Linked DNA regions of Schizosaccharomyces pombe. The gene in region 2 interacts genetically with the main gene of each other region. Each region holds a gene or a part of one and is shown on either strand. Other genes may lie near its edges.

Region 1 (7,808 bases), 4.5 Mb from region 2:
AAATAGGCACGCTGAAAGTAGTGTAATCTATGAAGCTTTAATTTATATAGTGAAAAATACTGTAAATGGATTTCCTATCCTTGGTTTTCGGATTCATGTAAAGTTTGTTATGCAATCTAATCGATGCATTATTACCTTCCCTATTTCTCTACTCAATTGCCATTTTTTTTAAATGTATATTCTGTTCCTATGTATACATTATACTCTTTTTATCCTAGGAATTATTTAAAGATTTAATATTCAAGCCTAAAAAAATTGTAGAAACTAATTATTTAGTAACTGAAGATATAGCTTATAAATCCAATTGTTATTTCAGCTAGAAATGTTACTTCGATCGTCACAATATTCTTTTCTATTCCTAAAAACATTTTAAAAGCTAGTTGACCCTAAATGTGATTTATCAATAGAATCAATAATCTCAATCATTTAATAAGAGGGTAGATTTGATCAAATTCTAGTTGTATGAAATTACAATTCGCAAAAATTGACTGAAACAACCAAGGGTTGGGTAAATCTATGGTGGTATAATGGCTTCATTCTTACCTACTCCACTTACGAACCTCCATCTTCTTAAATTTCACAGTAGAAGGTAATTGTAAAAGAAATATTGTGACAATAAATTTTAAAAAGATTAGCAAAAAAGAATATTTAATTACATAAAAATGTCGAATGTGCAACGTAAAAGAATTGATATTCGTCGTCCCACCCTTGCGGAGCTGTCGAGTATTCGATCGATTGCCATGAATGCGTTGAACGGTCAATCGAGAAATCTCTCTCAAAAAATCTTTTGGCACCCGTTGTATCTTGCGGTTTTTGGTTTGGTGTTTATGGGGATATATCGCTTAACAAACATGGTAGAAGGAAATACAAAATTACGAACTTTTGTTTTATTAATATTGGTTAGCGCTGTCTTTTTGACGTTGATTGAATTTCCCTGTAGAAATGTGTATGCAAAGATTAGCACTGAAGACAATCAACCTGACGGCTGCTTGGCTGAAGAGAATCTTAAACATTTTTATATGGCCCGCATTGACAAAGAACGAGTTATTGGTATTATAGGTATCTTGCCTGCAAATGCTCCTGGTGCATACCAAAACACACCAACTATTGTCCACTGGACTGTCATTCCTAAATTTTATCAGTATGCGTTTGATCTCCTAGATTCAGCACTTCGTGAGGCGAAGGAGATGGGTGCTGACGTGGTCTCAGCACGAGTTTATTCAACCGACCCAATGTTGAAGGCTTTTGAAAGAAAAGACTTTACTCCTGTAGTTGATGAAGCTTTCGATTATCTATCGTTTTTCGGATTGCGCCGTTTAGTGCTTCAAAAGAATTTGAGCGAACAACCTGGTTTTGAAAATAGAAGATAGATTATTTAACTTTCCGCAAATATTACCCTTTCGTGCATGTAATTGCGCAGCTACAACTTGTTTTTCGCTGTATGTTCATATTTTAAATCTTTTTGTTTTGTGTTTATTTTTTTCGTGAAATAGTTACGAAAGAATTTCACGACGTTCAAGTAAATTTCTACCTAGGGCAAAAACTAGACCCACCGTGTTGTTGAATAATTGTTAAAAGTTTTAGAAACTATTTCATTACGTCCGCTCCATGTTCAAGAGTTCGTACCCGCTAGACTGTACAAAACAATTTGAATGTAAACTTAATATTATATAACTGATGTATGTTAGTGAATACTAAGTGAGCATCTCATTTCACTATCGTCAATTATGCTTGTAAAAACACAATCGATCGACTACAAAAGTACGTTTAACGAGTGTGAATCAAAGCTGAATCAATAAATAAAATACAGCATCTTGCAAATAAAAAACAAATTTAAAAATATTTAATGACAGTAAAAGACAGAAAAAAACAATAGTACTTAGAGTAATAACGTATTACTATAACACATACTACGGCAACATAATGGTGCGCCCTTGTTGTCGACGCTTTTGCCATCTCCCTATGTCAACAGCACATTCCGCCTTAAACAAGAGATCATAGAAGGATCAAATTAAAACTGGGATTTTGTCTCCTTGGTTCAGAAATTACTTGATTGTTTTGTTGGATTGTAATTAACAATCACTCCAATCGCTCGCCGAAAGGCTTCCAAATTTTGTTTATTAAATTAGCCTTTCTGAGCGACATTTTGTTATTTCATGTCTGTTCAAGCGTATACGAATACTCCGAATTTACCGAATTTAATACATAGTGAATCTATAACCAACTCACCTGTGTTTATACCAAACCTACGAAGTAAGTCCGACAACAAACATAGATTAAACACTTCTGAAGAATTGCCATTTACAAAGAAACGCAGAGCAACTAAACATTTTTTAAAAATGGAGGTATCTGCCAAAATTTCTGAACCACCTTCTAGTAAAAGTGTGGAATTTGGAAGGCATTTAAATATGCGGCATGATTTTTCCGAATTGCTTGAACAACCACTTACAACGAGCAAAACTAGGGTCTTTAAATCCTTTAATGAAAAGCTCAAAGGTAAACCCCAGTTAGTGAAATCCGATAAAGGTGTGTTGCCTCTTAATAAGCAATCGGATATACTGAATTCTTATGAACGCGTTTTAAGCAATGCTTCGGTTGATTCTGCATTAGACAAAAAGGCGGAAGTTGATATCATTCCATTTGATAAATCAGTTATGGAACCAAAGAACATAACTTTTAATGACAAAAGTGGCTTAACCAAGTTTGGGAATTCAAACTCTTATGAAACTACGTATTCTGACTCCAGCAACTATCATACTTCTACTGATTCGTCCCAATATAATGACCAAGATGACCACGTCTATGATGATACTAATGATGGAACTGATGATGATATAAATAATAACGAGTACAAAGACGATGAATCCAGTAGTGGCAGTGAAAGTTATGAAAGAGATGAAGATGTTGATGAAGAGGAGGAAGAAGACGATGATGAAAACAATGATGAGGGAGACGATGAAGATGAAAATGAAAATGACGAGTTAAGAAGCGAAAACGGTTCACCTAATCCTTCAGCCGCTGTTATTAATGAACAAGAAAACATGAACATGAGTGGAATCGAAGAATACGATGAAACTAACTTGTTAAATGAACTGGGAAGAATCAGAAGAGGTAATCAGTTTCAAAGTTTAGCGTCTTCTATACTTTCTTCCGGTAATTTGGAGAACTCTGATGACGAAGATGTTTCTTTAGGTCCACAGACATACCGTTTCAATAGTTCCTTTCATCCTTTTCGTTCTGCATTTTCTGCTCCAGGTGTTCAATTTGGACGCTTGTTAGAAGGAATAAAGGATTTTAGTGATCCTACTGTTCAAATGCTTTCTCTTCAAGAACTTTCCGAAGCGTTTGCTATGAGTACTGAAGATATGCTTGTTGGATTGTTTTCAACCGATTCATACATTGCGGCTTTTTCCGAAATCTTATCTGGGCGAAATTATGATTTCGGAGAAGTCTCTATTCAACTTATGCTATCCTGTACTACCTGTGTATCTAATATGATGGAAGCTTTGCCTTTATGTATGGCTAAAATAGCATATAGTCCTATTGTTCGCATTCTGTGTGAAAGAATGTTTGATATGCAATACATTGATATTGCTGAACAAGCTTTAGGAGTTTTAGAACGGCTTTCTAAAGATTTTGGTATTTGTATTTTGGAACACAGAGGAATGTTAGCTGCTCTCCAATACTTTGATTTTTTTTATACTACAGTTCAACGGACAGCTATTTCTCTGGCTGCTAATTGCTGTAAGTTTTTGGATGAATCCAATGCTTCCGCAGCAGAAGAAATTATTCCATTGCTTTCTAATATTCTACAATCTTCTGATACCATAGTCGTTAGTAAGGCATATTCTTGCCTGGAGACAATTATTGAATCTTTGAAAACTTCACCAAACATAATTGAAACGATAATTTCCGAGGATTTGATCACCACTATTGTCAATGCTTTGACTAATTCTACCTCACAAAATAAGTCAATGCACTTACAAGTGCAGCTATTACATATAATATCATCTTTGTGTCAGTCATCTTCTGCTTTGATTTTACCTTTTCTTAACCATAATTTGCCGGATGTGATGTACGAAATGCTGTGTGGAATACCACCTTCTGATACATCCCATCAGGCTGATATGATTACAATGCAAAGTTTGTATTATTGTCCGATCGAGTTAATAGAAAACTTGTTAAGAGCTATAACTTCTTTGCTTCCTAAAAACACTAGTAACTTGTCTGATGAATTTAACACGAAACTATATCGATTAAACAGTATACTCTTAACTGTTGTAATGGACATTTATTTTATTGTGCCCCTTCATGATATCCGATCGTTAGCTGTGACTACGGCATTGAAAATGTTATGTTCAATTAGGGAAAATAATTTAGATGGCTTAGTTTGTTCTCTTCCTTTATCATCATTCATTGCTTCAATTTTAAATTCACGCAAATCTGACAATTTCTTGAAGCGAGATGCTTTAGAAATGTGTCTATTTTTGCTTGAAGCACTTCCTAATGTTTATTCTTCGTTATTTATACGAGAAGGCGTTGTACAGGAGGTTGGATTTTTAGTTCGCTCTACCAATGCAGACATGAAGAAAATAAAGTTAAGTATTTCCTTTTCACAAAACAAATCTGCTGCTCGTCATGAGGAGTTGAAGAATTTATCGACGTTAAAGAGCCTTGCCAAGGAGTTTCTCTCTAATTATAAGGAAGAAAATTTAGAAAACTCAACATTAGTTCAACTTAAACAATTGTCTAAACATTTATTAAGTGAGACCAAACAAGACGAATCTTTTTCAGAACTAGCCAAAATATTTCAAGAAGGATCTAATATTACTAGTCATGAATTACTTCATTCTGGATTAATTCATAATTTGCTTTTATCACTCAAAAAATTTGGAAGTTCATCTCTTCGAACATTTTTGTTAGCTATGAATACATGTGATGAACGCGAAGTTTTAGAATTTGGTAATGGTCCCTTAGTTTCACTTATCTTTTGTTTGCAAAATCTACTTTCAACTGTTGAGAATTTTCAACTTTCAACGTTACCCCCAGATACTGAGAATGCGGTAGATCATGTTTTTTCGCGGCAGTTTAAACTTCGTTTAATGGCTCTTCCGGGATCAAGAATTCGACCACCTTTCCGATCTCTTGTCGTTTCTATTAATGGGCTAGCTACTATTCGTACACTTGATAATTATCTTCACAGTCGCATTTCTGTGCGTAATGAAACTGGACGTCGTTTTTCAATCCTCCGCGAGGCCGGTTCTTTGAGGGAGTCAATGAGTGGATCATCTCGTAACTCTTCAGGAGACTATACTGACTCAATGTCTCAAGATGCTCCTAATCACACAACAGAGCCATCAGAGCGACGTGACTCCTCGACATCATCACATTTCGAGGAACATTTTGTATTCAGTTTGATGGGTAAAAAGGTACCCCGAAACAAAACAATATTCAGAATTTTATATGAGTATATACAGTTGTCTGACGATCATACTCTCGATGATTTTTGGAAAACTCCTGTCCCAATATTTTATGGTGAGCCTGATTGCATTCACAATGATATGAAAGGGGAGTTAAACTATGAGAATGAAACAGAGGGATTTTCTATAAATATTAGAGAAATATTGGATTTATTGAGTATTTTGTATTATGGGATTAGAGACGTTCATACCCTCTTTCCTGACAAACATTTCCGTGGCAACATTGAAAACATTCTTACAGATTTTAGCAACTGGAAGTTGAGTGCCAAATTGAATAGACAACTTGAAGAGCAACAACTTGTTGTTCACGGTTGTTTACCCTCCTGGTGTATATCACTAACCTCTGCATATCCATTCCTAGTACCGTTTGAAACTCGATATCTTTTATTGCAATCTACTGCTTTTGGTTTATCAAGATCCGTTTCTTTTCTTTTGTCCCGAAATCCTGAGCTATCAAAAAACGAAAGTTCCTCCATACTTCAATTTGTCAGCTTACATCGCCAGAAAATTCGTATTTCTCGGAAAAAAATATTTAATTACGCTTTGCATTTGCTTGCAACTTATGCGGCTTCTGAAAATATTCTTGAAATAGAATACGAAGATGAAGTTGGTTCAGGTCTTGGGCCCACTTTGGAGTTCTATACTTCAGTATCTAAAGAATTTACCTTAAATTCTCTCGATATTTGGCGGAATGATCAACCCAACTCTAAATTTGTGTACCAAGCGTCTGGACTTTTTCCTTCTCCTATTCCATTATTAGGGTCCAGTCCAGAAAATGAAAGAAAAATTTCGTTGTTCTTTGCTCTTGGACAGTTCGTTGCACGCTCGATTTATGATTCAAGGATAATAAGCATTCAGTTTAATCCACTTTTCTTTGCACGAAATATACCTTTAACCATTTCCTCTGTAGCGAAAGTTGACAAGGGCTTAGCTAACTCGTTACGATATTTAGAGAAATTAATACCGGGTAAAAACCCTACAAACGCCGAGACGGACATTAAGCTTGAAGACCTTCATCTCGATTTTACTCTACCGGGATTTCCGTCTATTGAACTCATACCTGATGGAGCTAGTACACCTGTGACAACATTCAATGTGAGTGATTATTTAAATTATGTCATTGACTATACTGTTGGAAAGGGTGTTCAACAACAATTAGAAGCATTTCAAAATGGGTTTTCCAGCGTTTTTCCTTATACTTCTTTGCAAGTTTTGACAGAACATGAATTGGTCACACTATTCGGTACTGTCGATGAGGATTGGAGTTACGCGACCTTGATGAAATCTATAGTAGCAGATCACGGTTACACCATGGAAAGTCCTACAATCCAGAGATTACTGACTTTGATGAGTCAAATGAATTTTCAAGAACAAAGAGACTTTTTGCAATTTATTACTGGAAGCCGAAAACTTCCTATTGGAGGATTTGCTGGCCTAAATCCCCCGTTAACTGTTGTTAGGCGCTTAAATGAACCTCCTTATGTACCTGATGATTATCTTCCAAGCGTGATGACTTGTGTGAATTATTTGAAACTACCTGAGTATTCTTCAAGTGAGGTTTTAGGAAGTCGACTTTCTAAGGCTATTTTAGAAGGACAGGGCAGTTTTCATTTATCCTAAGCATTGTTTAGAAAAAAAAAGTTATTGTATAGCACTTCAGTAGCGTTCTATGATTACTTCAAAATAGAGGCTATGTACAAATATAAAGCGAAAAAGAATTGGTAATTTATTATAGAATGGGTAACTTCGTACTCCCCTTACAATGTAAAGTAGCATAGCGAATGAAATTCATTAGAAACTTATGCATTGAGTAAGAATTTTATATTTAACTCATGAAAATAAATAACCACCTGCTTCCAGAAAGTGTTGGTGAACAAGATACAAATTTTTAAAGACAATGAAGACCCTGTAACATATAACAAAAGTCGCCAAATGCTAATAATTAACCAATGAGGAAAAATGTTAGACCAACGAATAGCAGTAGGGTAAAATGATTATTTAGCATTCTTTGAAACTTTTTGAATATTTTGAGAAACGGTATGAATAGTCGATCCTTTCCTATTAAGATTTCGCTTACGCTGATCTCCAAATTGATAACTGAGATTCTCCAGCTCGTTTTTTACATTTTCTGCTGAAAACTCTGAACGCCTTTGTTGTCCATTAATGTCTTTGCGTATTGGTTTAGCAGTAGACTGTTGTACATTATTCATCGGGCGATTTGAGCTAATTCGAGAAATTAAATCTAAGTATGAATACATAAAGTTACTTAAGAGAACTTGTTGAAACAATGGGCGATGCGCGTTTGACAACTTTATATGAGAGAGACGA
Region 2 (3,612 bases):
AAAGCTCTTAATCGGTTTATAGCTTCGTATTAGTGTGTCCAAACCCGTGAATTTTAGAAAGTAGGTATTTGCCGGATGCTGTTTAGAAGTTTTAAAGATAGTGGAATAATAAAAAAAAAAAAAACGCCTGGAATAAAGTGCGCGGAAAATGAAAAATGTTTCCTTATATTTAAGTATCAGAGAAAACCAGGAAGTTAGCTGATGCGACAGGAGATAAAAAATTTTATACGATGAATCACTTAATCTGTCCTTGACCCGAATACAATCTTTTAATCAAGGATAAGAATATTTTTTTTGAATGAGTAATAGTTACAGAATGCAAAGGTTTGCTAATTTTACTCGCTACAAAATACTTTTTGAAGCTTTAAACATGATCTTCAGTTTAATTCATTAGAAAAGATTTGTTCCATGGAATTTAAAAAAATATACTTATGTCGTTCCCGATGGCTTGATAGTGTACAGTGTTCTTGACAGAGGAACCTATCTATTTTAAATCAATTACATTAAAGTACTGAATAAATATTTGTTTCTAAAGAATTAAATTATCTAAAACGATTGTAAACTTTCTAAAACTAGCATTTTTCATATATATATTGACTGATATCTTTTAGACATCTAGTCCGTTGCAAAGATCAACTTGATGGTGCTTTGAGACCATGGTTTCCGGTATAGTTAACAACTTGTGGAGGAACCCAACCTTTCAATGAGTTCTCTTCATCTTCTAACTCATAGACTTCTATAGCCAAAGGCCTACAGCAATCCACCATTTTGCTGCTTTCAACATCAGTAGCGTCCTCTCCCCAGCCCCAATTTGATAAGTCTCCACCAGGACAAGCACTAATTGCAACCAATAAATCTTGTTCTGCGAAACATTGGAAATAATCTTTTGAAGTTGCGGGACACGTTTCCATGAAGTATTGATCATATTCGTTAAGCCCGGTGACTTGAAAGACATTCAATACATCATGGACGTCAAACTCTGTCAAGCCATATGGCATTATAGCTCTCGTTAAATTGGAATGACAATGCAAATCGTTATCCTTCCCAGAAATTAATTTATCGATGTATGGATCACATCTTGTACCGAGTGTGTCATGAACTCGTCCACCCCATTCATCGTGTCGTGCCTGAAGCGAATCCCCAATTATTGTAACTAGGGGTCGTAAATACGGTAGTGTTGACCATAATCTGTCATAAGTAGAAACATGTGCAGAATGTATTTGGCGAGTTCTAGCTGCCCAAAATCTTTCTCGAGGATTGTGAAAGTTCCAAATATTTAAATCACATACCTGAGGGCCTTCAGGTACGACAATGCTAAATATTGATTTTTGGGGAATCTTCACAGCAAGGCCAGTTCTGGGTTGGCATACATGTCTTCCTACTAATTTTTTAGGAGCATTGGCTATACGAGCATAAAGTTCTTTATCTGCATACAAGGGGGAACCTGGATGTGGATAGTACGCGGGTAAAGGTTTAGGTAAATTATATTTTGTTTTCTCGGGTTTTTGAGAAGAAGAAGCTAATTCTGAAATTTCTGTCATCTAAAAGTTAAAATAAAATACGTTAGAATTGAATTTCAAAATAGAAGACGATTGCTACCCATGTGAATGAAAGGCTTTCATGTTGGATAGTTAATTTATAACGTCTGTCGGCCAGTTGGTTTCCTTCCCCTATCTACTAAAGCGTTAAAAACACTGCTTTTCCGATTGATTTAAGCGAATATACCTATCTACTGTGGGGCCCCGCTTCAAATAAGATAGAATAACATGTATTTGTGTGTTTGTTATCACTCATGATATTCTCGCAGAATATCACGCTGTATGCTCTGTAAACATATCCTCGGCTGTGCCTGTTGCAGTAGAATTAGCTGTTAATGCTCTCACAACATTCTGATATCGCGATTTTTCACATTCCAGTGAAATGAATAACTTGCTGCTTAGCGCAAGAGAATGCCATAAATTCTATGTGTTAGTTTAAATTTATTGATTTGAAAAAGTAAGTGTACCAAGCATGAATAATTGCACTTTTTTGTTGATTGCTTATTTAAACTTGAAATAATAAATAATAATAATAATAAAACTATATAATTACAAAAAAAGAATTTCGAAGTTAGCGATGACATTAGAAAAGATTTGTATCATCAAACATTGAAATATGATATTAAAAAAATTTATTAAATAAATTGGTGAATATTTTATTAAAGTCAGCTTGTATTATTGCAGTCCATAAACACCTTAAAACAGGAAAATAATTTAATTTCAAAATTATATAAATTTTATTATTCACAGCTATTTGAACTAACAATGGACACTTCGCAATTAACATATGTTGGAGGCACTGGGATCATTATGTCAAATCGAGATTCCCCAAATATTGCAGCACATAAAAGTTTTAGACAACGAAGATGAATAAAACTGATTATATTACGAATTACACTTGAATATTTGTAAAATTATGAAGTAGTTCAAAAGGACTCTGAATAATTTGTCCGGTTCCTGATGGACGTTGAATAACGTGGGCAATGCAGTGTCAAGGTAATTGAAGTCATTGTACTGATCCAAGCTCTCTGTCTGCATTACCACCTTCAAGAACGTACGTCAACTCATCGATCAAAGAAATACGCCCGTCTTTAAAACTGTAAAATGCAATGACTTTGATTCTGCTGGACTCGCCAGAGGAACGTATCGCATGGGCAATATGCACAGTGGCAGCCTTGTTACCTTGACAGACAATTTGTTGAACGTTGATGTCGAGCCGATGAAGATGGGTACGTAGTGCTTTGGCATGAGAAATAAAATCGTCAAGTGTCAATTCACGTCCATCGACAAGCTGTCGATAATCTGGCGTTAAAAATCCTCTAAGTGACTCAACGTCAGTACTAAAATCCGTAAATGCCTTAAACAGTTGCCGGATGAACGATTCTGAGTCTTGCGACATTCGGAAAAAATTTTTGGTGATTAAGAGTGGGAAACATAGGGTAATGTGTCGCACAGTACTGTAAGTTAGGTTGATGTAACTCAAAACTGAAATAACAAATCAAGTTTAGCTATTTTTAATCTTACCTCTAAATAGTCGATATCAACATATACTTTTAATCATGCAAAGGTAAGTAATACTACAATGCGTTACACACGTTTTTTTTTAAATCACACATCATTAGACATTGGTGAAAAAAAAACCCCACTAATTTTTAAAAATTTTTTATTTTTTTTTGGAATTAGATAACAAGTGTGTTTTTCCCTTCAAATTCGACAAACAGAATTATTCATTATGACGACCCCAAGTTACGAAAAAAAAGAGGTTTAAATTTGAAATGGTTAAATTCCTACTAGCTGGTATAATCCTCCTAATAAATTGTATGATAACCGTTTAGAGTACATTTAATATTTAACTGAGTCATTATTCACATAACCAGTTGAGTAGTTGATAAAATCCTTGGAGGTCTGATTTATAACGAGCTGCTCTTGCTCATCAATATTTATGTTTTAATTAAGCAAAATCTGCTGGACATTTCGTATCTACTTTAGCGAGCGAATCGGTGTTTTCGTTCACGATCTGGAACAACGCGATGACTAAAGCAATCTCAGCTGTTTAAATTTGACTAGTATATAA

Evidence for each region. Genes that interact genetically often act in the same process or in processes that back each other up.
Region 1: mutations in SPOM_SPAC11D3.03C (region 2) and SPOM_SPAC12B10.01C together harm fitness more than expected from each alone (negative genetic interaction), as found in Schizosaccharomyces pombe (one large-scale study listed by BioGRID).

Annotation. Positions count from the first base shown.
Region 1 is NC_003424.3:4,569,790-4,577,597, reverse strand, and holds SPOM_SPAC12B10.01C (ubiquitin-protein ligase E3), read left to right. Parts: upstream 1-1,954; 5' UTR 1,955-2,156; coding exon 2,157-7,100; 3' UTR 7,101-7,293; downstream 7,294-7,808. Other genes in the region: acetylase Sdg1, read left to right, coding at 663-1,370; zds family phosphatase type A regulator Zds1, read right to left, coding at 7,475-7,808. UniProt on the Schizosaccharomyces pombe protein: E3 ubiquitin-protein ligase which accepts ubiquitin from an E2 ubiquitin-conjugating enzyme in the form of a thioester and then directly transfers the ubiquitin to targeted substrates.
Region 2 is NC_003424.3:110,373-113,984, forward strand, and holds SPOM_SPAC11D3.03C (uncharacterized protein), read right to left. Parts: upstream 1,606-3,612; 5' UTR 1,542-1,605; coding exon 633-1,541; 3' UTR 532-632; downstream 1-531. Other genes in the region: SPOM_SPAC11D3.04C (polyketide cyclase SnoaL-like domain protein), read right to left, coding at 2,545-2,937.